4 linked regions of the Drosophila melanogaster genome follow. The protein of the gene in region 1 purifies or fractionates together with the protein of each later gene. This does not show direct contact. Each region holds a gene or a part of one and is shown in the gene's direction. Other genes may lie near its edges.

The links.
Region 2: the proteins of Lkb1 (region 1) and pav purify together in Drosophila melanogaster (affinity purification with mass spectrometry, with the first as the bait; one large-scale study listed by BioGRID). This does not show direct contact.
Region 3: the proteins of Lkb1 (region 1) and Ctf4 purify together in Drosophila melanogaster (affinity purification with mass spectrometry, with the first as the bait; one large-scale study listed by BioGRID). This does not show direct contact.
Region 4: the proteins of Lkb1 (region 1) and NAT1 purify together in Drosophila melanogaster (affinity purification with mass spectrometry, with the first as the bait; one large-scale study listed by BioGRID). This does not show direct contact.

What each region holds. Positions count from the first base shown.
Region 1 is NT_033777.3:13,674,198-13,680,351, forward strand, and holds Lkb1 (Lkb1 kinase), read left to right. Parts: upstream 1-2,351; 5' UTR 2,352-2,747; intron 2,748-2,818; 5' UTR 2,819-2,912; coding exon 2,913-4,015; intron 4,016-4,081; coding exon 4,082-4,276; intron 4,277-4,337; coding exon 4,338-4,495; intron 4,496-4,552; coding exon 4,553-4,800; 3' UTR 4,801-4,869; exon of another isoform or gene 4,870-4,943; 3' UTR 4,944-5,233; downstream 5,234-6,154. Other genes in the region: CG9588 (uncharacterized protein), read right to left, coding at 1,306-1,539, 1,604-1,930, 2,231-2,332; omd (oocyte maintenance defects), read right to left, coding at 5,534-5,815, 5,875-6,017, 6,082-6,154.
Region 2 is NT_037436.4:4,240,761-4,247,269, forward strand, and holds pav (pavarotti), read left to right. Parts: upstream 1-1,973; 5' UTR 1,974-2,117; coding exon 2,118-2,128; intron 2,129-2,187; coding exon 2,188-2,946; intron 2,947-3,004; coding exon 3,005-3,554; intron 3,555-3,614; coding exon 3,615-3,936; intron 3,937-3,991; coding exon 3,992-4,542; intron 4,543-4,603; coding exon 4,604-5,074; 3' UTR 5,075-5,473; downstream 5,474-6,509. Other genes in the region: Sqor (sulfide quinone oxidoreductase), read left to right, coding at 26-131, 192-416, 475-675, 734-943, 1,144-1,330, 1,384-1,700.
Region 3 is NT_033778.4:13,979,132-13,985,351, reverse strand, and holds Ctf4 (chromosome transmission fidelity 4), read left to right. Parts: upstream 1-2,034; 5' UTR 2,035-2,116; coding exon 2,117-4,804; 3' UTR 4,805-4,990; downstream 4,991-6,220. Other genes in the region: CG8067 (uncharacterized protein), read right to left, coding at 546-1,154, 1,212-1,467, 1,529-1,665; CG6701 (uncharacterized protein), read left to right, coding at 6,012-6,168.
Region 4 is NT_033778.4:12,913,765-12,919,227, forward strand, and holds the start of NAT1 (NAT1), read left to right. Parts: upstream 1-2,229; 5' UTR 2,230-2,300; intron 2,301-4,093; exon of another isoform or gene 4,094-4,140; intron 4,141-4,230; 5' UTR 4,231-4,633; coding exon of another isoform or gene 4,634-5,463.

The sequences.
Region 1 (6,154 bases):
TCGCGTTGTTGGCAGCAGGCAGATCCTTTCAATCGCTCACGTTAATTGCACAGAAATTCAGCGGCGCCCCACGATTTTTTCACTAGCGTAATTTGACGGCGATTGGGCCGCACTTTCGTCCTGTCGCCACTCGGATTCGGATTCGAAATCGCATCCGTAATGCTCTCGATTCGGATTCGACGGCTGCGGCAGCTTTGCTCCGGCGCACAAAACAAGCAAACTGGTGCGGGGATAATTTTTGTATATTTTGGCAAGCAATTGGAATTGTTATTCGCCAGTCGCTTTGCTTCAACAATTTCACTGCATTTGTAATTATCCTTTTTTTTATCGTGGCAATCGGATGCTGCGGCGCGGGTGAAAAAAGTTTTAAACTTTTACGCTGCGTGTTGCTTAAATAGATTTTCGGGCGAAAGCTCGTCCTGCCAAATTCGCTCTCTTCGCGGAAAATCTCTCTCACTGTTAAGCTAACATGTGTCCTAACCGGTTAAGCGAATTCTGTTACGGAATTTGGTTCGAGTCTGGGCTGCAGACTGTTGCATTTAATTTAAAAAAAACCTGATATAAAAAACGAAACAAATAAAATGACTTTGCCATCTCATAAAAACTATTATTCCAATTGATTAACAATACACTCTTTCAATTAAATTGCTCACGTCAGATATATAAATAATTTTATCTTAAGAAGGAGTACAGTTTTAAAGCCATTGTGCCCTGACTAAGCGCTTGAGCATTGGTTGAAAACTTGGCTAGTACCTGGATGTTCAAAAACAGAACTTTTAAAATCGAACATTTCTTTAGAATTTGTTTCTCTGTTAAATTGAAATGTTCATAAGAAGAATAAACCATAGTCTTCTGCAAAAACGTTTATGCTTTTAGATAATAATTTCCAAATTTGTTTTTTATATTTTTAATTATATATCCTTCTTTATTTACCAGTAAAAGCGCTATAAAAACTTATTTGTTAGTAAAACCGCCTCATCATTTTGTTACGCATCATTTCATATTGAATGAAAATTAAATGCAAAAAAAATCGGTCATGTCGACAGAATCCACCGAATCACAATATCATCCTTTTGCCTGTCACCTGTGCACCTTGGGTCACTCCACTGCTGCTCCTTGGCCCACTGACCCGGCTGTCAGTCAGCGAGATGACTCCAGCTGAAATTGCCCTGAAATCGCGTCCAAAAATCAATTTTCACAATTTGGAGCAACCATGTTCGTCGGCCTGGCAGAGATGGGCTGATAACTAAAGTGCAGGGCAGGAGTGCACAGGCAACTCGAAAAAAGCTTAAACACAAAGCTACATCAGTGATCCATCGCCTCGGGCGGCAGGACGATGTTGCAGCCCAGGAGACCGCGTCCACTCCACGTTTTCGGCACCAGGATGAGGTCCAACTGCTGCTCGCCGCGCTTCACTTTCAGCTGGACATTCTGGCTCTGCATGTTGCGCACCAGCTCGCCAATCTGGGCGAGATCTCCCTTGAAGTTGCCGCTATTGATGGAGCCAAAGCGGAGGATGGCATCGCCGGCACAGAGACCCTTAAATGGTAAAGATGGCCCATCTCAATGCTGTGATCTTCGCTTGTTTACTACATTCACTCACAGCTCTTTCGGCGGGCGAATCGGGACTGACCAGATTGACCACCACGATGGCGCGTGCAGGAGCAAGATCCGTGATATTAGCGCCACCGGGTGAACGGTCGCTGTCCAGGTCCAAAGCGGAGGCGCGGTTCACCAGCTCCGGATCTGTGGTGGCAATCTCGCTGTGATATTGGTTGAGCAGCGTCTGGATCTGGTTCATCAGCTCCTTGTGGTCGTTCTGCAGGCAGATGATCGTCTGTCGCGCCAGGCGCACCTGGTAAACGTCGATGTCGTTGCGCGGAAAACCCTCGGCGTCCACCAGTGGTCCACTCATGCCCACATTGTCGTTCTGGAAGGAAGATATCATTATCAATGCTATACAGCATAAACAAAAGAATGTACTCAAAATACAATTGTGTATATACCCTACACCAAAGCATAGGATAATGCTGTAATGCTTGCCCAAGTGGACATACCCTAACCAACAGTAGGGTATTGAATATATCAACATTTGGCTTGGCGGTCCGTCCAAGTTGAAGAACCTGCGATCATGAATATCCACGGTGGTGCGTCACCAACAGCTTGCCACAGTGTGCATACCCTATCCCGGATGCAGGGTATCCCCGGATGAGCAAGCGAATTTACTTACGGCGGCCAGGATCTGTCCGTTTCTGTTGATCTGCGCCTCCAGCTGCTTTTTAGCGTTAATCAGACGCTCCAGGCGCTCCTTGGTCGTCGTCCCAGCGGCCATGACTTCCACTTCGATTCGAGTTATTCCAGCGTTCGTCCCGAAAAATACAAATTTATTATTTTTCGTTAATGTTTTTTTTTTTCAGCAGCGACAGTAGCAACAACAACCAGTGCTCGTGCAGCCCTGGTTGCCCGCGACCAGTGTGACCGTATTGCGGCGAACTTACTTTGGCCAAAAACTAATTGTTAAACAATTTTTCGGAAGGGGAAAAGAACAAATTGAACGGCGAGAGTAAACACAGGAATTCACAAATTTCTATGAGAAACAGATCGCACGACGGTGAAACGAAAGGGGGGAACGCCTTTCCAGCGGACATCGCAGAATAGACGACGGGCGACGAGGGACCTCGAAAAATCGCACGGCAATCAATTCGAGTGTGTGCGAATTGATTACAAAAATAAAGGTATTTCGAGAGGTGAGCGATAAAAGCGCGTGTGTGCCTGGTGAGGATTAGGTGTAGCCATGAACTAACCAAACGTTTTGCAGCCACAGGCAACACAGGGACCACACCGTCCACTCCCATCCGCCGGAGTGGGGCTGCCACCTGCGATATGTGATCATTGGGGCTCCGCGGAGGTTTATGCAATGTTCTAGCTCTCGGCCAGTCGGAGGTAAAGCAGCCGGTGGAGCAGAAGCAGGAGGGGCAGGAGCAACAGGCCAGATGACTGTGACCACCATGGAGGCACAGGTCAAGGCAGCACACCATCATCATCTACATCATCCCACGGGCGGAGGGGCCCAGCACAAGGTGGAGGAGGAGGAGCCGGATCCTGTTGAGGACGAGATGACCGTACTGCTGGCCAATAAGAACTTTCACTATGACGTCGCCTCCGATCTGGACGACGACGCTTTTGTGGAGCTCAAAGAAGACACCGCCCAAGCGGATGATGCGGGCGCGGGCGTTGGCTTCTACAATCCGGATGAACTGCTGCTCGATGACCAGCCACATCCGCAAGTCACGTGGCTGGACGACGACGAGATCGAGACGCTCGATCGCGTGACGCTGGACATGGGTAATATGTTCTTCAATCGCGTCGACAGCCAGGACATCATCTATCAGCAGAAAAAGAAGAGCATTAAGATGGTGGGCAAGTACATAATGGGCGATGTTCTCGGCGAGGGATCGTACGGCAAGGTGAAGGAGGCCATGAACTCGGAGAACCTGTGCCGCCTGGCCGTCAAGATCCTGACTAAGCGGAAGTTGCGCCGGATTCCCAACGGCGAACAGAACGTAACGCGCGAGATCGCCTTGCTGAAGCAGCTGAAGCATCGACATGTCGTGGAGCTGGTCGATGTTTTGTACAACGAGGAGAAGCAGAAAATGTACTTGGTCATGGAGTACTGTGTCGGCGGGCTGCAGGAGATGATTGACTATCAGCCAGACAAGCGGATGCCGCTGTTTCAGGCGCACGGTTACTTCAAACAGCTAGTCGACGGCCTGGAGTACTTGCACAGCTGCCGGGTCATCCACAAGGATATCAAGCCAGGCAACCTGCTGCTCTCCCTGGATCAAACGCTGAAGATATCCGACTTCGGTGTGGCGGAGCAACTGGATCTGTTCGCACCTGACGACACATGCACGACGGGCCAAGGTTCTCCGGCCTTCCAGCCACCGGAGATTGCCAACGGACACGAGACGTTCGCCGGCTTCAAGGTGGACATCTGGTCCAGCGGAGTGACTCTGTAAGCCTTCCTTGTATAATATCATGTATTAAATGTATATACTGTACTAATCTAACGGATTTGCAGCTACAATTTGGCCACTGGACAGTATCCCTTCGAGGGCGACAATATCTACCGACTGCTGGAGAACATCGGGCGAGGTCAGTGGGAGGCGCCCGCGTGGCTATACGAAATGGACGCGGACTTTGCCAACCTGATTCTCGGCATGCTTCAGGCTGATCCCAGTAAACGCCTCTCTCTGCAGGAAATACGCCACGACACGTAAGTAGGAATATTCCTTGATTGCACTTCATGATAACTGATTGTTATAATCTGCTTTTAGTTGGTTCCGATCCGCACCGGTTAAGACCGGCCCACCGATACCCATTCCCCCCCTGAAGGGTGACAAATACCGCAACTCCACGGTGATACCTTACTTGGAAGCTTACCACTACGGCACCCAGGAGGAGGATGTCTACTTTACAGAACACGACGTAAATCGTACGTACCAACATCAATCTAATGCCGAGTGAACTACTTTCATGGTTACCTTTACAGAGGAGCTCGCCCGCCAAGCGGCAGCTGCTGCCTCCGAAATTCGGGCCAAACAGTCGGCGGCAGCCCTAGCCGCCTGCCACACCTACGAACCGCCCTCCACAAGTGCCGCAGCCGCCAGCAATTCGCTGGGCAACGGTAGCAGAGAGGAGGCGCCCGTCAAGAAGAAGGGATCGGCACTGAAGAGGCGCGCCAAGAAGCTGACGTCCTGCATCTCCGTGCGCAAGCTGAGCCACTGCCGAACTTCGTAGGCGCCTTAGATGCCTCCACTAAACATAGATGCTAAGATTTATCGAAAGGAATAACTTTGTTAACAAATTGTGAGCAACTTTTTGGTTTTGTTTTCCCGTTTTTATTCTGTTGTCCTACATTCGCCAAGTATTTGTAACCATAGAATCATGTAGGAAATTCAGGCGCAACCTCGTACCGCCCGAGCAGCAGGAGCAGCAGCGGTCGCATCAACAGCAGCAACAGCCCGCATCAGCGGAGTTGGCTGTGGAATTGGGGAGCTATGGGAGCGACACGAAAGCTATATATCCATGTGACAATACTGTGTATTATATGAAACAAATGAATGCGTAAATTAGTCGTTAATATATTATGATGTACTGAAGGCAGCCGAGGATTGCCGGAGGAGACGGTGCCCATTGGTGCGTCGCACACATAAAGAAATATGTTCAAGTGAAATTGTTTGTTGGCTTCGTTATATTCTAAACTACACACGACGAATGATGCGATTTTCAGGCGCCGTCGGTACAATAACTGCTGGACAGTATTTGCAAGGCCTAGGTTGAGATTTTAATTTTTACAAACCAATGAAACGAAAATAAAAGAACCCATTGAATATCAAAATACAAACACTGCATTTAGTTCGCACATTTCGCACATTCCAAATTCCACACTCAACACTCGCAGACGCTCCATTATTCCATGCACACACGCTCATGCTCACACTACAACATTAGGCTAGCTAACTACGTTTGCTTAATCTATTTCAACGATCTGCAGCCGGGCCGTCGGATCTGGCTCTGAGTCGCCCTCCATCAGCTCGCCCATGATGAACATCTGATGGTAGTGGGGGCCCAGGGTGGACAGCTTACGCTGCATTAGGTGGCGCAACGGGTCCACATATTGCGGCGGCACCTTGGCCAGCTGTGTATTCGTGTTGCGCCAGTGCAGCCCGTTGTTGTCCACGTGAAACAGCGCCGGCGAGGGCACGTGATCTTTAAGATAGTTCCAGATGCACTCGCGCAGCAGCAGGGCAATCTGGAAATGTCATACATTAGTTGGTGCTACTACACAGTTTGGGCAAATAATGGATCTACCTCTGCCGATTCAAAGTGCTCGATGATGAGATGCAGATTGGTGAGTGGAGGTGGAATTAGTTGGCTCATAGCCAGCAGTTGCAGCATCTTCTTGGTGCACAGCATCAGCTCATCGTTCGCAGCAGTGGGCTGGAATCGATTGACTGCAAACGTATAATATGATTAGGCACCTTTATAGAAAATAAGCAAGTAAAGTGACAAGCTCACCATTCTTGCCCCGCCAGTGATGCAAGCAGGTGGCGCACAGTGCGCGCAGTAGCACGGAGGAATAGCAAAGCGC
Region 2 (6,509 bases), on another chromosome or scaffold:
ATTAAGTAAATCCTATTTTTTCCAGATGCCAAGTGCTGGTTGTGGGCGGTGGCACCGGTGGGTGTGCCATGGCCGCCAAGTTGTCCTCACGTTTGGGCAGCGACAAGGTGGTCGTCCTGGAACCGGAAGATGTGAGTAAGCCCAAAGGCAGTAAATAATCCATTATGACATAGCGCGATAATTCCCCATAGAAACATTACTACCAACCCATGTTCACCCTAATAGGAGGTGGTATGAAGAGATTGGATCAGAGCCACCGCCAAATGGCCGATGTGCTGCCCACAAAGGCCAAATGGGTGAAGGAGAAGGCGCTGGAGTTCGATCCGGATAATAATACGGTTAGCACTTCTGGTGGCAAGACCATCAAGTACGACTTCCTGATCATCGCCACCGGACTGCAGCTCAATTATGGAAAGGTACGTAGGGTATCAGTACGTTTAATAGTTGCTAATATCCATATCCACATATCCATAGATACCTGGCCTGGTGGAGGCCCTGGAGACCCCCGACAGTAATGTTTGCTCCATCTACTCGCCCAAGTACGTGGATCATGTGTACGAATGTCTGCGCAGGACCAACAAAGGAAATGCTATATTCACGTTTCCCAATTGTCCCATTAAGTGTGCAGGTGCACCGCAGAAAATCGCCTATATATCTGAGCACTACTTTAGGAAGGTGTGCATCATTTAGATAGAATATCTGGCAAACAACTTCAATTTGAAACCCTTTTCAGATGGGTCGTCGCGACAACGTCAATATCATCTACAATACATCGCTTCCCGTGATTTTTGGTGTTAAGCATTACGCAGAGGCCCTGATGAAACTGATCAAGAGGAGAAATATCACGCTTAATGTTCAAAGAAATCTCGTTGAAGTGAGACATAAAGATAATATAGCCGTGTTCGAGGATCTCGCCAAACCAGGAGTTCACTATGAGGAAACGGTAAGTGCTGGTCAATTAATTGGGTATTCTAGATACTATATAGATCTAGATCTAGATCCTAGAACTATATCTTTCTACTTAAAGCGAGAAATATGAAGAGTAGGTTAACTAAGATCAATTTTAAAGTCGTATAGTATTGCAGAAATAGGAGAATTGAAGGCCATGAAATTAAACTTATATAAGTATTATATCTTTCTCAGTACTCCATGCTTCATGTGACTCCGCCGATGAGCACTCCGGATGTGGTGGCCAACTGCAAGAAACTGGTAACCCCCACTGGCTTTGTGGACGTCGACCAGTTGACGCTGCAGCACAACAAGTACAGCAACGTGTTCGCCATCGGCGATTCGGCGTCCAGTCCCAACTCGAAGACGGCCGCGGCGGCAGGTAAATGGGTTGGGAATCCTGATCAGAATATTCAATTGATTTTTCACCTCCAGCCGCCCAATCACCGGTTGTGTTCAAAAACGTAATGGCGGCGATCGAGGGCAAAGCCCCAACGGATATCTACGATGGATACTCGTCCTGCCCCATCGTCACCGGCTACAGCTCCTGCATCCTGGCTGAGTTTGATTACAACCTCACCCCCGTGGAGACCTTTCCATTGGACCAGTCCAAGGAGAGGTACTCCATGTTCTTTATGAAGAAGGAGCTGATGCCGGTGCTCTACTGGAAGCTGATGATGAACGGCTACTGGAACGGACCGGCACTAATGCGGAAAATTTTCTCAGTGCTAAAGTTTAATAAAAAGCAATAGGGACCTCAAATGATCTTTAATTAATTTTAAAAGAATATTTGGCATCATCATAACCATTCCATACCTTAATATCATACTAATTTATAAACATTGTACTTTTAATTTGGTATGTGAGATCATAAATAAAAGTATTAAATTAGTTTAAAATCTAGTATATCTAAATATTTTAACCTATTCAAATGGCACGCACTGTACATAGCCTCGGTTTCAGTATGTATCAAGTATATATTGGAGCAGGGGATGGTATTTGCAGCATTAACCGCTTTCTAAAGTTCGGTCACTCTAAAACCAAGCGTGGCGTCGCTTGGCGCTGTAAATTTGAAGGTAACGAACTAAAAGAGAGATCGATTCCAGCAACAAAACAAGAAGAAACCCAACTCCCGTATATCAAATTAGTTGCAAAAACGAGCTGACAACATGAAGGCAGTGTAAGTGATATGACAGTTCCCGAAAGAACAACTCCATCAATGAGAATACCCATTTGCAGACCCAGGACGCCGATGCGTGTCGTCCCGAAAACTCCGCGGGTGCATCAAACGGTGGAGAAACAGCGACGAGACACCTCCGACAAGGCCAGGGATCCAGTGAATGTGTTCTGTCGAGTGCGGCCACTACAATCCGACGCAGATCTCACCTCCCTAAGGGTCAAGAACTCCACGACGATCGCACTGAATCCGCAGGATCAGCTGCTGCAGCATCACAAGCCACACAACGGCGCCCAGCGCGAGGTTCAGTACATATTCAAGCACGTTTTCCAGCCGGATGCCACGCAGCAGGATGTGTACGCAGCTGTGGCCCAGCCGTTGGTGGAGAACCTACTGAAAGGCCGAAACAGTCTGCTTTTCACCTACGGCGTGACTGGAAGTGGAAAAACGTACACCATGACCGGCAACCTGCGACACCGCGGCATCATGCCGCGCTGCCTGGACGTGCTCTTTCGCACCATTTCAGATTACCAGGCCAAGAAGTTCGTCTTCAAGCCGGACAAGCTTAATGGCTTCGAGATCCTGTCCGAAGAGGATGCGCTTTTGGAGCGCCAACACGAGATGAACCAGCGTTTTGCTGGCTCAGGACGATTTGCCTTCAGGCACAAGGACTCGGATCCGGAAATTGCATCCCAGGCCTCCGTGGAGCCAATTCCGCTGCTGGGTTTGGATGAGGACAACATGTACTCGGTGTTTGTCACCTATATTGAAATTTACAATAACAGCGTCTACGACCTCCTTGAGGACTCGGGTATACAGAAGTAAGTATTTATTAAGCATTACATTTAAAGAAATCTAACTGTATTCTTGACCCGACAGGACTTTGCAGAGCAAAATCATTCGTGAAGATGCCAATCGACACATGTTCGTCCACGGCGTCACAGAGGTGGAGGTCAAGACCGTGGAGGACGCCCTCGAGGTCTTTCAAATGGGCCAGAAGCGCAAACGAATGGGACACACTGTTCTCAATGCAGAATCCAGTAGGAGTCACTCGGTGTTCAATATACGCTTGGTGCAGGCGCCCACTGATAGCCAGGGTGAGAATGTGGTTCAGGACCGGCAAAACATCACAGTGAGTCAACTGTCCCTGGTGGATCTGGCGGGCAGTGAGCGATCCTCAAGGACCAAGAACACCGGTGTGCGACTCCGTGAGGCGGGCAACATCAATAATTCGCTGATGACGCTGCGCACTTGCCTGGAATATCTGCGCGAGAACCAACTCGCGGCTAGCAATGGATTGGCACCCAAGAAGGTCCCCTATCGAGACTCCAAGATCACACACATGTTTAAAAACTACTTCGATGGCGAAGGCCAGGTGTCCATGATTGTGTGCATCAACCCAAGAATTGAGGACTATGATGAGAATATGGTAAACTATTTTTCTGACAACAATGTACTCTGGTCCCTAAAATTTATTTATCCCGTTTAGCAAGTGATGAAGTTCGCCGAGATGACCCAGGAGGTGCAAATTGCTCGGGCGACTCCTATGAAGCAAGATTTGGGTCTGACTCCCGGCCGTCGCAAGGCCAACAAGCTGTTCAAGATTGCCGTTAATAATCTAAACGAGCTGGGCATTCCTGAGGCCAAGGATTTGGAGGTGGACGTGGGTTTGGTGTACAGTTTGGGACCCGATTTTCCCGCCTACGAAATGGACAGTCCCGAGGCACAGATCAAAATCCGCGAGCTAATGCATTATCTGGAGCAGCGCATAGAAAAGCGAAAGAAGCTGCGTGCCAACTTGGACATTAAATGTAAGACGTCACTTTCTTAATCTTAACATTGAAATACTAATTCCACAACTTTCAGGTGACAGCTTCCGGCAGATGCTGATGAACCTTGACCGCGACAATCTTCAGCTGCGCACGGAGCTCGCCTCCTTAAAGGCTGTTTACAAGCAGGAGCGCGATCGCAGTGCGGCACTCGAGAAGAAGGTTCGCATCCACGAGAGCTCCATTGACGTGCTTAACAATACGCTAAGCAAGCAAGAACGGCAGATTGAAGAGCTGACTTTCAAGCTGAACGAGAAGGAGAATATGCTCACCCAAAAGGAGCACGAGAAGGAAAAGCAAAAGAAGAAGTTCAGCTCCAAGCTGGCCGTTGAGTCGGACAAAAATAAGCGAGAGTTTGAACTAAAGCTGCGTGAACAGCGAGTGAAATTGCAGGAACGCATGCGCATCAAGGACGAGAAGTTGCGATTGGTCTCCAACATTCTGCAGTCCGAAGATCTGCCCAGTTTGCCGCGGTCACAGAGCTCGGAAAACATACTTAATGAGAAAGATCGCGGTGCATATACGGCGCGCACGGAGGAGTCCTCGGTGCCAGCTACACGAACAGATATATATGCAACGCCACGTCATGTAAGTGTATGATTAATCCTAGAATATTGCAATATCTATTGATAATTTTATATCCCAACAGGGTGCAGCAGCGGCCAACAATCGGCATAGACGCTCTCGATCCGCAGGCGACAAGTGGCTGGAGCATCGGGCAGCTAATCCCGTTCCGCTTGGCACTATTATGCAGCCGTATCTGAAGAATCGCAAATCCGTAACGAAACTAACCGACTTGAAGGAGTTGACTGCTCACGGAACTACGAAGTACTGTCTCGTCTCGCAGGATGCGGATACGGATGGCGATGTGGAGACGAAGCTGTATAAGGGCAATGTAATTCCCACTTGTGGCGGTGGTGCCCAAGTTGTGTTCAACGATGTGGAGTGCCTCAAGCAGAAGTCACCGGTTCACTCGCCCACGCGAAAGCGACCCAGCAATGGCAACATTTCGGCTCTGGGCGGCGGTGCAGTGCCCAGCACGGTCACCTCAGCCCAGGACGTAGCCTCCCGCTGCAATCTCGGCATTGAGGGACACAGCAGCAAGAAGTCGAAAATCTAAAAATGACTCAGCGTGGAATTCTCAAAGTCAATTACCCATTTAGTTCATAGTTACTTAGTTTCCATAACTTAAATTTAAGTTTATTACTCACCCACTTCGGTTTTTGGAGTTGAATCGCATTGAAGTGATTTGTTTGATTAAAGAAAAGTTAATCTGTATAAATAATCCCGTAAATGAATTCGCAACCCCTCGCAAATGGAAATGTTTCCTGCTCCAAATAGTCGGTACCCGGAGGGTATCTGCCAAGAGCAGTTGTTAGAAACTATCCAAGCATCGTCCAATCATAGAACTACTCTAGTGTTATTATAAAGTATTAAATATTTTATTGTTTTTCGGAGTGAACCCAACTCCAGTCCAGTCACAAAATGAACAAATAAAGTGAATTACGCGCATATACTGAAAGTGATCAATTTGGTTTTTATCAATTTTAGATTTTCTGGCTGCAAAGCTCCCAGAGTTCCGTGAAGCAATAACATGTGGCACATAGATGGTTTTAACTATTTTTATTATTATTCCTGCGTTTATTCAGATTTATGCTTAAACCGATAAATTTTATTGAAATACATACGGTACCATTACACATACATATTTGTAGATTAATTTCAATTACTAATAAATCAGTCTATAATTAAAATATATGTTCGCTTAATGATTTCACGTGTGTGAGTGTTGTTGTGTTGCAGTGTTCATGTTGCAGTTGCTGTTTCGTGGGTGTGAGTTGCTGCTCGATGAGTTCGGCAGATGACTCTTAAACGCTATGTGCGGCAAATGTGGCAGGTTCCTGGCAAATGAGGAATTTCGAATTTGGAATTGGAAGCCAATATCGCTAATGCTACTGCACGACAAATGAATCAAATCAAATGTAAAAGGGAAACAATCAGAACGTGATAATAGAATTTAGGTACATACCCGTTCAAGTACAATTAAACAAAACAAGTTGGACGAGACGAAACAAAACCACAAATGTAAACATAATAGGCGGCAAACTCAACTCAAGTGGTGGGCCAATATTAACATATCCATCTTATCCAAATTTCATTTAAACAAATTACAATTTAATCAATATAAAGCTCTGTTCTCATAAACGCTCTCTCAGGTTCACACGACGCGAAACAATTATTTGCATCTGCAGTTGTAAATCTGCGCTTTATAATACGTAATCATAATCATAATATTATCATTAAGGTAATCGATTCTTGCCATATACACAATAGCAATAAAAACTAAGAAGCGAAATTATTCTACGGTGGAAAACGAATTTTGGCTATGAAGCAACGTAATTTAAAAGGGTATTATTAACAATATACACTCACAGCCACAGCCACACCCCGACCACCCGACTACCCTACTCTTCTTTCCCTTAATTGTTTAATGTTTTTTGTGTGTGTGTTACGGTGTGTGTGGTGTTAATGGTGTGTGTGGTGTATGTGAGCAG
Region 3 (6,220 bases), on another chromosome or scaffold:
GCCAAATTAAATTTACAACAGTTACGAGTTAAACAATTGATAAAAGCAATCGAGAATTACATAAAATACATAAAAACTGCTAATGGAACAATATTTAAGCAAGAGCAAATCGTATCTAATACAACTACAAAGCGGTTAGAAGTCTATTTAATTGCAAATTGAATTCAACTCAAGCATATATATTATAGAAATTGTTGTAAATTGTACTTGTATATACGTACCAAACAAAATACAAAGCAACGTTAAAAAGTTACGTCCATGAAATGCAAACGAATGTAAAGGCGAAAGGCAACCAAATATTAATTGAAAACTATAGATAACAGAATCGTACGATTACGCTAGATTTATGTATAGTTATACCCTCATAGCAGTACACGAACCGAGCAAACTGACAAATGAATTGAGTATTTACCATTAATTTCATGATTAAACTTTACACAAACATGAATCACTAGTTTAAGTTTCTCAGCAAAAGGAATTATGTATATTTTAATTTAAATTATGTTCAACAACGTCTCCAAATAAAACTGTCAACTGAAGCTAAGCTAATCTCCCGCTTTGGTGTCCAGCTTGCCGCCCTTTTCGATAATCGACCCTAGATCCTTGAGCGACACCTCACCGGTTCCTCTTTCCAGAGGCTGTGGCTGATTGGGACCGGGTTTCCAGCCCACAAAGTAGATGATTTGGAAGGTTGCAGGTATCCCCTTCTCGTTGGGCTTTGCATACAGCTCCTGGTAGATGGCACTGGCCGCGAGCATCGTTTCTCGACTAAGATGAGCGGGTCGATTGAATGCAGCATTGTTCTCTGCCATACCCTTGAGATCCCACATCAGTTCGAACATGCTGGGATAGCCGATGACCAGTTCATCGGTGTCTATTGTCAGCATGGTGAAGCCGGCGCGATTAAGCAGGGAACCAATATCCCTAATCTGAGTGAAGGGCGAGATGTGCGGAGATATGCCACCTTTGCGCTCCAGCTCGGCCAATTGGAGCGAGGAGCGCAGCTCGTAGAGGGTGTCTCCACCAAACATGGAGGCTATAAAGACCCCATCCGGTTTCAGACTCTGCTTAATTCTGACAAAGCAGCCCGGCAGATCATTCACCCAGTGCAGACTTAGGCTAGAGATGACCAGATCCAGTGAATTGTCCTCAAACTGAAAGGGATTCTCATTTAGACTTGCAACTTTGGTCTAAGTAGATTAATTACCCACATCCAGCTGCTCTTCGTCCTTAACTAGTTTCACCATTTTCAGACCCGGAGTGCCCTGTGCCTGCTCCAGCATCGTAGCACTGGTGTCCGTGAGCGTCAGCTGCTCCACACTCTCCGCCAGAATGTGTCTGGACAGATAGCCGCGACTGCATCCGATATCCGCCGCCGCCTTGAACTCCCGCTTAATGTCGAATACTCTGTCAGCCAGGCGGAAGCCGATCTCCTCCTTCAAGTAATCGTATAGTCCAACGTCTTCGCTGTATACGTATATTGTTTACTAATTGAATATATACTCTAATCCTGGCGAGAAGATCTCACCTGAGTGCGGCCCTTTCCTTCTGTAATCTCTTGGCATTGCGGTCAAATATATGTTGCGATGTTTGGGTGAGTGAGGATAGGGCGCGGAGTTCACATTTGACCTTTAAGGTCGATAGTTTTGTTAATTTTCTTAACATATTCCGACTTTTGATCAGAGCAGTGCTGTAATAAGCAACCGGCTGCGGGAAAATGAAAATATTACATTTTTAAAATGGAAAGTCGAAGTATGTATACCCTACATGTCTTATATCTTGTGGATTCTTAAATTTTTCTATTTATGAAAGTAATACCAATGTTGTTTAAACAATTGAAACGTCATGTGTGACTATTTACAAATTATGTATACAATGTTTCACGTATTATTGAATTTAAATTATTAACGGGAACGTGGTGATATATTTTTTTTAATATTTAAAAAGAAAGAGTATTGAACGAACAGCTGTTGGCCAGTGCTGGAAAAGAGCGACATCAAGACATTCCCATTCGGCCGTTGGCTTACACTGTTAGGTAGTGCCTATTTGTTTTGGCGCCAAAAGTGACGGGAGGTCATCGCGAGAGATCAATTGAAATTAAGCATTAAATCACATCATGAGCTTCTTGCGCAGTGCCCTGCGCTATGCCCACACCAATGGCTACACGGGACTCCTTTACACTCCGCGCGGCGAGTTCATCATCACGTGCGGCACAGATGGAGACATCCGGCACTGGACCTGCATTAGTGACGACGATCCACGCTCAAGTTGCCTGGGCGAGTTCGTCATGTGCATAGCCCACACGGGAACCCGTTTGCTGGCCTCGACGGATCGGAATACGATCCATGCCTACACCTTTCCCGAGATGGACAGCGATGGCATCCTCATGCGATTCACGGCACCGGCTACGTGCCTCAAGGTATCCGGTGGCTATACTGCTGCCGGCAGCGAGGATACCACTATAAAGGTGCTTAAGGGAGATACAGCTGGCAACGAAACGGTGCTGGAGGGGCACACTGGTCCCATTCTGGCACTGGACTTGTTTGCGGAGCGAAAGCTGCTGGTTTCCGTGGCCGGGGATGGCCAACTGAAGGTGTGGAACTTCGAGGAGGGCAAGGAGCTGAAGACCATTGGGGGCTTGCCAAAGGTCAACAGTTTCGAGAGCGCCAGCCTGTATGGCACTCCGCATTTCGAGCCACAAAGCGGTGAACTTCTGGCCTATGCCGTTGACAACGAGATTGTGGTCCTCAACACGGCCAACTGGGAAGTGGCCTTTAAGCTGCGCGACGACTCGGTGTCCAGTAACTACAGCTGCTGCCAGTTCTCGCCCAATGGTGAGCGCCTGGCCGCCGGAACAACCAAGGGCGAGGTGAGCATCTTCGATGTAAAGAAACGGAAGGCAGTAACAGTGGAGATTCCGCCAAGCGACTGCAATGCCATAACATGCCTTGCCTGGAATCTGTCCGGAGAGGTGGAGGTGGCCTTCTGCGATGCCACTGGCCAGCTGGGAACCGTATTTCTTGGCGATGCAGTCGACACAGGCAACGGCGATGGATTGGTGGACGACCAAGCCGAGCTGTTGGGCGATGACTATGAGTTTGAGGCCGGCGATGACGTGGACACTGCAGCAGACGACGGCGATGGCGTTAGTCTGGAACAGCTTAAGCGCAAGGTGATGAACTTTGCGGATCCCGTAGATCACGATGACGCCTCCAACCAATCCCTGGACAGCAGTAGCCGAACTGTACCTGCACCCGTTGCCCCGCAAATCAAGCTCTTCAAGCAGCAGACGGCCTTTCAGCCCAGTGCCACACCGGCCGATCTAGAGCATCGCTACATGGCATGGAATGATGTGGGCATTGTTACCGCCCATGTGGAGCCCTCAGGCGATAGCTCCATCGATGTGGAGTTCCACGACGCTAGTATTCACCACGCTCTACACATTAGTAACTACAATCAGCACAATTTGGCCAGTGTGAGCAGTGGAGCTTTGGCATTGGCCTCCAACGAATCCAGCAAGTTAGTAGTCATTGCTCTGGCCGCCGCCGGAAACAAAGAGTGGTCACTCAGCCTCCCGGATTGCGAGAGTGCAGAGGCTGTTGTGGCCACGCGATTTCTAGTGGCTGTGGCCACCAGCTCCAGTTTTCTGCGTATCTTCACCGTGATGGGTACACAGCGTGAGGTGCTAACCATACCAGGACCAATGGTGGCTATTGCTGGACACGAGCACAGCCTAATGGTTGTTTACCACAGTTCCGCGCCCAGTCAGACGCAGCAGCATCTCGCCGCGATGTTGGTGAACATAAATGGATTGAGTTTGCGACAAGAATATCTGCCCGTTCCGCTGACTCCAGGCCGGCAGCTCACCTGGTTTGGGTACAGCGACACCGGATCGCCGAGTATTGCCGACAACATGGGTCTGCTGCAGTTGTATCGCCGGAGCAGCAACGCCTGGTTCCCCATCTGCGACACCATGAAGCAAAGCACCAGTGTGTCGCACAACTTCTTTGTGGTCGCTGTATCCGAGAAACGTCAGATAGTCCAGGCGGTCCTGTGCCGCGGTACCTCCTATCCCATGACCAATCCGCGTCCCATGCTCCAGGAACTGCGTATGCAGATCCCGCTCTGCGACGTCGAAGTGGAAAAGTCCGAGCTGGAGGATGCACTGCTGCGGTCCAGTCTGATGCAAATGGATGGGGCAGAGAAGATGCAAAAGGAGACGGCCATCAAGCTGTTTGCATTGGCCTGCAGCAGCGAGTGCGAGACGCGAGCTAGGGAATTGATCGAATCGATTGCCTGCACTGATCTGCTTCAACTGGCCGTGAAATACGCCACGAAACGTGGACGCATCCACCTGTCCGACCGTCTGTGCGAACTGCTACCTCAATTGGAGGCGGTCCAGGAGGCACGCAAGCAGCAGACTTTGTTGGGTGCCAGCGGCATTGCGGCCACCATTGTTCTGCCAATGACTCCCACATCGGCCTCACAAAGCGGCCCAAAACCCAAGGCCATCGAGCTGAGCTCGGCCAAACGGGGCACCCTGAAGAGATTGGTCAATTCACCCAATATGTTTAAAGCAGCAGCAGCATCGGCAGCATCCCGGCCCTCGACTCCGGATATCACACCCTCTCCGCTGGACACCCAGGAAAACATATTCGGCGAATCGGAATCCGAGGTTCCCATGGGTAAAGCCACCGATCACCGGTCCCCTTTGAATTCGGTTAATCCCTTTGCTATGAAGCGCAAACTGGGCGACACTGGAGTCATCTTTGGATCCGAAAAGCTGAAGCTGGCAAAGAAATAGTCTGTTTGTAGATTGATAAGTAGGTTTAAGATAAATATATTATATAAATAATGTGTAACGTTTATCCCATTCTGTGAGCTACATGTAAAATAACAAATTTTTATTTGAGCTTTTTATGGAACAGAATTGTTAAGGATTAATTTGCTTATTTAAATTTAAAGAATAAAATATACTTTTATTTATATTAAAATGTATATTCTTTAAAAAGCGGAGGGTACAAGTTTATTTAAAATATGATCAATATATTTTTAAATATTTTAAAATTCTACAAATTAAACATTCTGGTCTCCAAAGAATACCGTTGGTATTTTTATCTTTGGAATTAAACCAACCAAATAGTGTGACCAAACTTTGTAAATGACATTAATCGATCGAAACGATCATTTTAGGCTGGATTTTCCACGACTTTCAAGTCAAAGTTATGTGTTCGTTTAATTCTATTTTGTAAATAAGTGTTACACGCTCAAATTCCAACATAAAATTACACACTCATACACATAGGAAAAAACACAATATAAAGGTTAGAAATAATAAGCAAAAAAGGTGCTAGATATATCAAAAAAATAAATATATATATTTTTTAAATAACAAACTAAATTGACAGTTACATACACGTATGTAAGTATTGCGGCAGCGAGTGCTTCCTTTTGCGTTGTTTACGAAATTCTCGCCACTGGAAGAAAGCTAAAGAACTCCGTAATGAATTTCCAGTTCCAGCGAACTGATCACCGCTATTCAGAAGGCTCTCTGCTGCAGACGCAAACACACACACAAGCAGGCAAACACACAGGGACATCGTTAAAATCTAAAGATGGAGAGACTCTATTTCCAATTTAATGTTGAATTAGTTTTCGTTGAAGCCATTTTTTAACCCAACAACTTTTTTAAGAAATCCCCGTCTGGGTAACCCGTGCATATAAAACCCAACGCTCGCGCATCACTCTCTTCATTTGTTACCTGAACGTTACGCCGTGCATTTCGATCGTCAGCTGAATAGTACATACTATATCATATATAATATTTCAACGTGTGTGTGTGTCTGCGTCTTTGCGTTTTGTTCGCGTCAAATAAGTAACTTAATTGCGATTATTCGCAACAACAATTATCGATCCTACCCTTTTTGTTTGAGTGAGTGTATTACAATAACAAAAACATAGAAAAAAACAACAGGAAAAAATCAGTACAAAATAAAGAACATCAAGCCAAAATGACAAAAAATAAAAAGAACATAATCAACAATAACAATGGCAACGCAACCCCGCCGGACTTCCCAACACCGCCACCGACGCCACCGATCAATGCCGGTATCAAACCGCCCGGCACCTACGCCAATGGAATGCCTCGCAAGCCGACGGTTCCGTGGGGTAAGCTATATACTATGTATATACTATATATGATCCATAACATCGGATCACT
Region 4 (5,463 bases), on another chromosome or scaffold:
GGCGAGGGCGCAAGGATATTCATGGGGTGGCGTAGGTCGAATTTAATAAAACTCAGCTCCTCAAGTGTTTATCCTGCGGATGCGAGGGGATGCTGTGTGTTGAATGCTGGGTGCTGGTTGCGATTTCGCCACGCTTCTGGTTGGCTGGCCGAGTTCACTTGCCATCCTGTCGGCTTTTCCTTTGCCGAGGGGTGCTCACAGCTCACTGTTTAGTGCCTGGCAATTGTCTTCCCCCCTCCCCCCTGCCTTGGCTTTTCCCTTTTTCTCGTATGATGAAGAATTTATTTGAAAATTAAGAAGACAAATTATTTAATTTCGACTTTATGAGCTTTTGCGACGCCCCGTCCACCCCCTTCAACGGTTCCAGCGACCGCTTTAATTTTCAATGCGAAACGGACGATAGGGATTGCGATTTCCGGGAAAAGGGTTCGCTGTCGGCCATTTTGAGCGCGGGAAAGGCTCTTTGCATTTTATGCGCGACGCGGTAATAAACACGCAGCCACGGCTTAGACTACAATGTGGAGTGGGCCATCGGACTTGGCACGAGCACGCCACAAACTTAATTTCATTTAGTTTTATGTACATTTCATTAAGCAAAAAATGTCCAGGCATCGCGACGGCGACCAACATTCAAGTGTCCGGACTTTGGACTAGGTCCTGCACATAAACCCGACTACGGGACTATATAGCTATGGCGATAGCGATAGGGCGATGGCGATGGCAATGGCGACTTGGGGACTTGGGGACAATCAAGATAAATAGCAAACGGAATTTTTATTGCCGAAAGGATACGACGAAGGGCGAAACAAAAGGCAGCCCAAAGAGTTGAAAGTGTTGACGTGACTACTGTGTCCTGTGCCCTTTGTCCTCGATGTGTGCAGCCAGCCAGGATAGTCTCACAAACTTACTACACACACACACACACACACACACACACGCACACATACGGGCCACGGAAAATTGTCAGAATGTTTTGTATTTTCCAAATTTATTGCCGGTGGCCGCATTTTGTTGTCGCTGCGACCATAGATTATCTCATCGTTTAGGAGGCCCTAATATGCGCCGGAGTCAGTCGCAATATGATTTATAGCCAACCTACCGATATATGATCGTTGCGGGCTTGTTTACCTACGAATCCTTTAGCTTCGCCTTTGCCTTCGTGTCCTTATCCTTCCACCTTGACGCTTCCAGCAGCTCCAGCTGCGAGCCGAACATTTTTAATTACGCTTTTTACAAGAAAATTAAATGGCAACATGTCATCACTAATTAAATTGTTCTTCTGTTCGGTTTCCCACTTCTTCATGGTTGTCCTGCGAGTGCGACAGTGTGTGAGTGTGCGTGTGTGTATATTTGTGTGTGGAAAACCAGCAAGGAGTTGGGGAGGGAAAAGGGTTGTAGATGACTGCGTTGATAATGCCAGGGAAATACATATATCAAACGAGGCGATAGTGCGGCCTAGGGCACGGACTACAATGTTGATGTGTGCCGCAATATTTAAACTATATCTGTCACTGGTTGCTAACGATCGGTCATTTCAATTAAATAAAATTATACCCTCTGTAAACGCTGACGAAAACAATTTGAAAATGAAGGTAGCAAAATGATGTCCTCGTTTGTGGGCTTAGTAATTAGTTTTAATTAACAAATTTATACTCACAAGATCCAGTTCTAGATATGAACGAGCATTGCACATCAGAGGTAAAAATGTTGTATTGCGCTTAGATACTGTTTTTTTAATATACTCAATGCACTTAGCAACTATAAAGCAAAATCTTTCGAATCAATAAGGATACAATATTAATATACAATATTCGCTCACTAATTTAAAATTACAGTTTGGTCATCTACGAATAATAATAATATTAGTAATAATAGTTTAAATTAGTTTACTTTTGTTATAGTTTAACAAGCAACAACATAAAAAGCAGGTATATCAATTATTAATAAATGAAACTGTTTTTGTACAAAAGATCTGCTTGAAATACGATTTAAATATTGCGGTCGTTCAAAATTTGTCAACACCTAATCGAAATAAAACTTTTGCAGCACTGTTGAGTAGTCGAGCCGGTTCGATAGCTTTTCGAGTCATCGATATTTTTCCAAGTTCCACACCATGGATTGTGAAATAGCTACTTGGCACATTTTTAGTTAAGTTAACAGGTTATCGATTGCTGCATGCGAAAAATCGATACTACTATCTTCTGGCTACACCGATAAAACCAAACGCACATCGATTTTTGTTCCAGCTCTATTTCGTGGAACCTTTGCGTGATTTGCTATACGAAATTACTCAAGAAAAGGTTAGTAAAAATAATTTAACGAGTATACTTTGCAAATGGTTTTTTGCTGTCTTTAGAGAGAATATGGAAAGTACACTTCTTTGCAGGTGGATTTTCCGCATTTTAGCCTATAAATTTTCCACGATGTGCCAGAGAAAACCGATTCTATTGTGTCTGTATAAGTGTGTGTGCTTGTGTGAACGTCCTCGTTTCTTCACGGCGAAAAATCAAGTAGTGAAATCAATAAAAGTGAGGAGCTCCCCTAGATGCCATAGTCGCTCCATCGCGGTAATAATTTTCAAGAGCAAGCAGGGTCGAAATTCGTCAATCAAAACGTTAATTTGCATGAATCATTTCGAGAGAAAAAAAAACACAAAGAAAGTTTACGCGTATGACTGTGTGTGTAGGTACACCTATTTGCGCCACAAAATGGCGTCGGCACGTCGGAAAATCTGAAATGCTGTGTTGACGTTGCCCGCTGCCTTTGCTTGAGTTATCTACAGTGCCCCCTCCCCGGGAAGACAGCCCTCTCATGGAGTTTTTTTTTTCTTCCATTCCATTTCCACAGCTTCACTTTTGGCGTGTGCCTTCCAGCTGCTTTCTGATCTCCCACACACACGCATTGTGCTGCTTGCATGTGTGTGTGCTTTCGTCACTATCGATGGGGGAAAAAGAAGAGTGCGTTTTCATGGGTTTTCTCAAGATATTTGCTCTTGAAGCCCCCGAAAAACTAGTAAAATAAATACTGTTTGCAATGTGGGTGTGCCACTTGGCCAGTTAAACATGCAGACAGCGACAAACACTTGTGCACAAGAGCCGAGCCGAACGCTCGAATTGAGGTCAAAATCATCCACAACTGGGTCTGTGCGGAAGCAGGGGGGGCTCATTTCTCAGGTCGGGGTCGACGCCTCAATGCAGCAGAGGGTGGGTTTTCGCATTGGGGGTGTTTAGTTTTGGCTTATCCCTTCCCCGCACGAAAGACTACATTATTGCAGGCCCAAAGTTCGTATGTATGTATGTGGTGTACTCGCACAATGACAAATCGCAGGGTTGTTTGCGACTTCGTCGTCCTATGGCCAATCAATTAAACCAAGCAAATTGAGCGGAATGGAGTAGTGACTCAGCTAATCAGCAATTGCAACCCCCTGCTCGTTGTGCGCCTCTGCCTATTTCCCGGGGTCAAGAGACTTTAATTCCGTGGCGCAGAAGACCAGCATCGCGTGCGAGCGGGATGGCCAGCTGAATGGAAAGCGGGAGAGAGGAAGAAAGAGAGGAGATCCCCAAAGCTGAGGCCATAAACCCCAACACAAAGAAAGGACACTGACACACGGACGCAGCTTCTAGTTCTTTTCGGTGCATGTGTGTTGGTGTTGTTTAAGTTTGTGGTGGGAGAGAGTGCGCCAAACAAAGAAAGCTGGAACAAAGAACGGCAGGCTACAACAAATGAGTCAATCAAGCGAAAGTAACTTTGCAAAAATAAAACTAAGCAACGGCACAAAGCTGGTTGGCATTGTGTAAACCTGTGATTAATTATAATCTTCCCAGCACTTAATGCTTAAATGGCAATGCCACCAACACTTGCACACATGCGATTCCGTAGAATGCGGCAGTGCCGTTTCAATTGGCGGGAGAGAGTGGAAGTGGAATAAACTTGAAGGTGCTCATCCGAGGTTATTTCCATTAAATGCATATTTTCCAGTTTGGATGGCAGGTGATGTTATTGTTATTGTGCTGGCGCTTGCTCGCAGTGAAATCGAGTGTAAACAAAAACAATCGGACGAGATTAGCAAATAACGTCCATTTAAATAATCCCACACGCACACCACTAGGATCACTTTTCTTTTGTATTTTTGTCACAATTGTACGTAATTGTTGATTCGTCTGATTCTCATTTTTATTAATTTGCCACGGTTCCGGCTTTTGTTTGTTTCCTCCTCCCATTTCTCTCCAGGATTCCCTAAACGCAAGGCCATACCCAGTGTGACGTAACGAAACGGAGAGACGAATCCCAGGTGTTACCACGCAGGACTTGTTACTTCTAGCCTAAAGGAACCAACCAGGAAGAACCGAAATCGGAAGGAACAGTAGCAGAGTTGGATAAAAAGCCAGCACCCATAACCCATAACTTGTCTCTGTGTGCGTACGCGTGTGTGTGTTAGATTTGTGTGCGTTTCGTCGAGTGTCCCCAAGGATCATCAGAACCACAGAGCAGACGAGGAGGATCTAAGACCCTTAACTAGGATCCAGATCCCCAGAAAACGGGGAAACCAACCAAGACGCCAAGAGTAGCCCACTCCGTGCCACCCAAGCACGCACCCATTTCGCCCCCGAGTCGATCAAGAAAAGCATCCACCATTCCTCTATCAACGTACGACGCCGCTCCCCTTTTGCACTCTTACGACGACAGTCCGCAACGTTGGTCCGGAGTCACCAACGGGCACCAGGCAGGCGTCATCATAGATCAGTTTCGGGGCGGTAAAGCGATCATCATTGAGGGAGGCACCAGCACCGGTGATACGAAGAGCATCGGCGGCGGCAGCGATTTACGACTGGTAATAACGGCCAATCCCAGCGAGATCGAGCGCAATTACGAGCAGCCAACCAATCGCGGTGGTGGCGGAGGCGGCGGCGTTATCGGCGTCAGCTGCGGTGGCCAAACCCCACCGACACCGTCGGTCGGCAAAACACTGCTCAACACCAGTCCCAATCTTCTGCCGATCACCACAGCGACCGATACGTTTAACAACCTCAAGAATCTGGTGAAGATCGACAAGGGCTCCTCGCCATCGTCAGGATCGAATTCGCTGGGCGGCAATTACCGCAAGGGCGGCTCTAACGGCTCAGGATATAAGAGCGCCGGCGGCAACGGAGGATCTCCGGCCATAAGCGGCAACAGCGAGGGCGGCAGGAACGGCAGCCGATCATCTGGTGGACCGACCGGACACTTTTCCACTGGCTATAGTAAGAATTCCGTCAAAATTCGCCAACACGACAGTGAGGTGAGCCCAAGACCTCGACGATCTTACCAGGGTGACTCGTCGTCGTCGCGTTACTATCCAAAGAATAGTGACATTTTGGGTCAAGGCTTAGGCGGCAACTCCGACAGCTACAACGGCAGTTCCTCTTCTGGTAGATACCAGCAGCAGGATCAGCAAGGCGGATCGCATCGTGGTAGTCGCAGCAA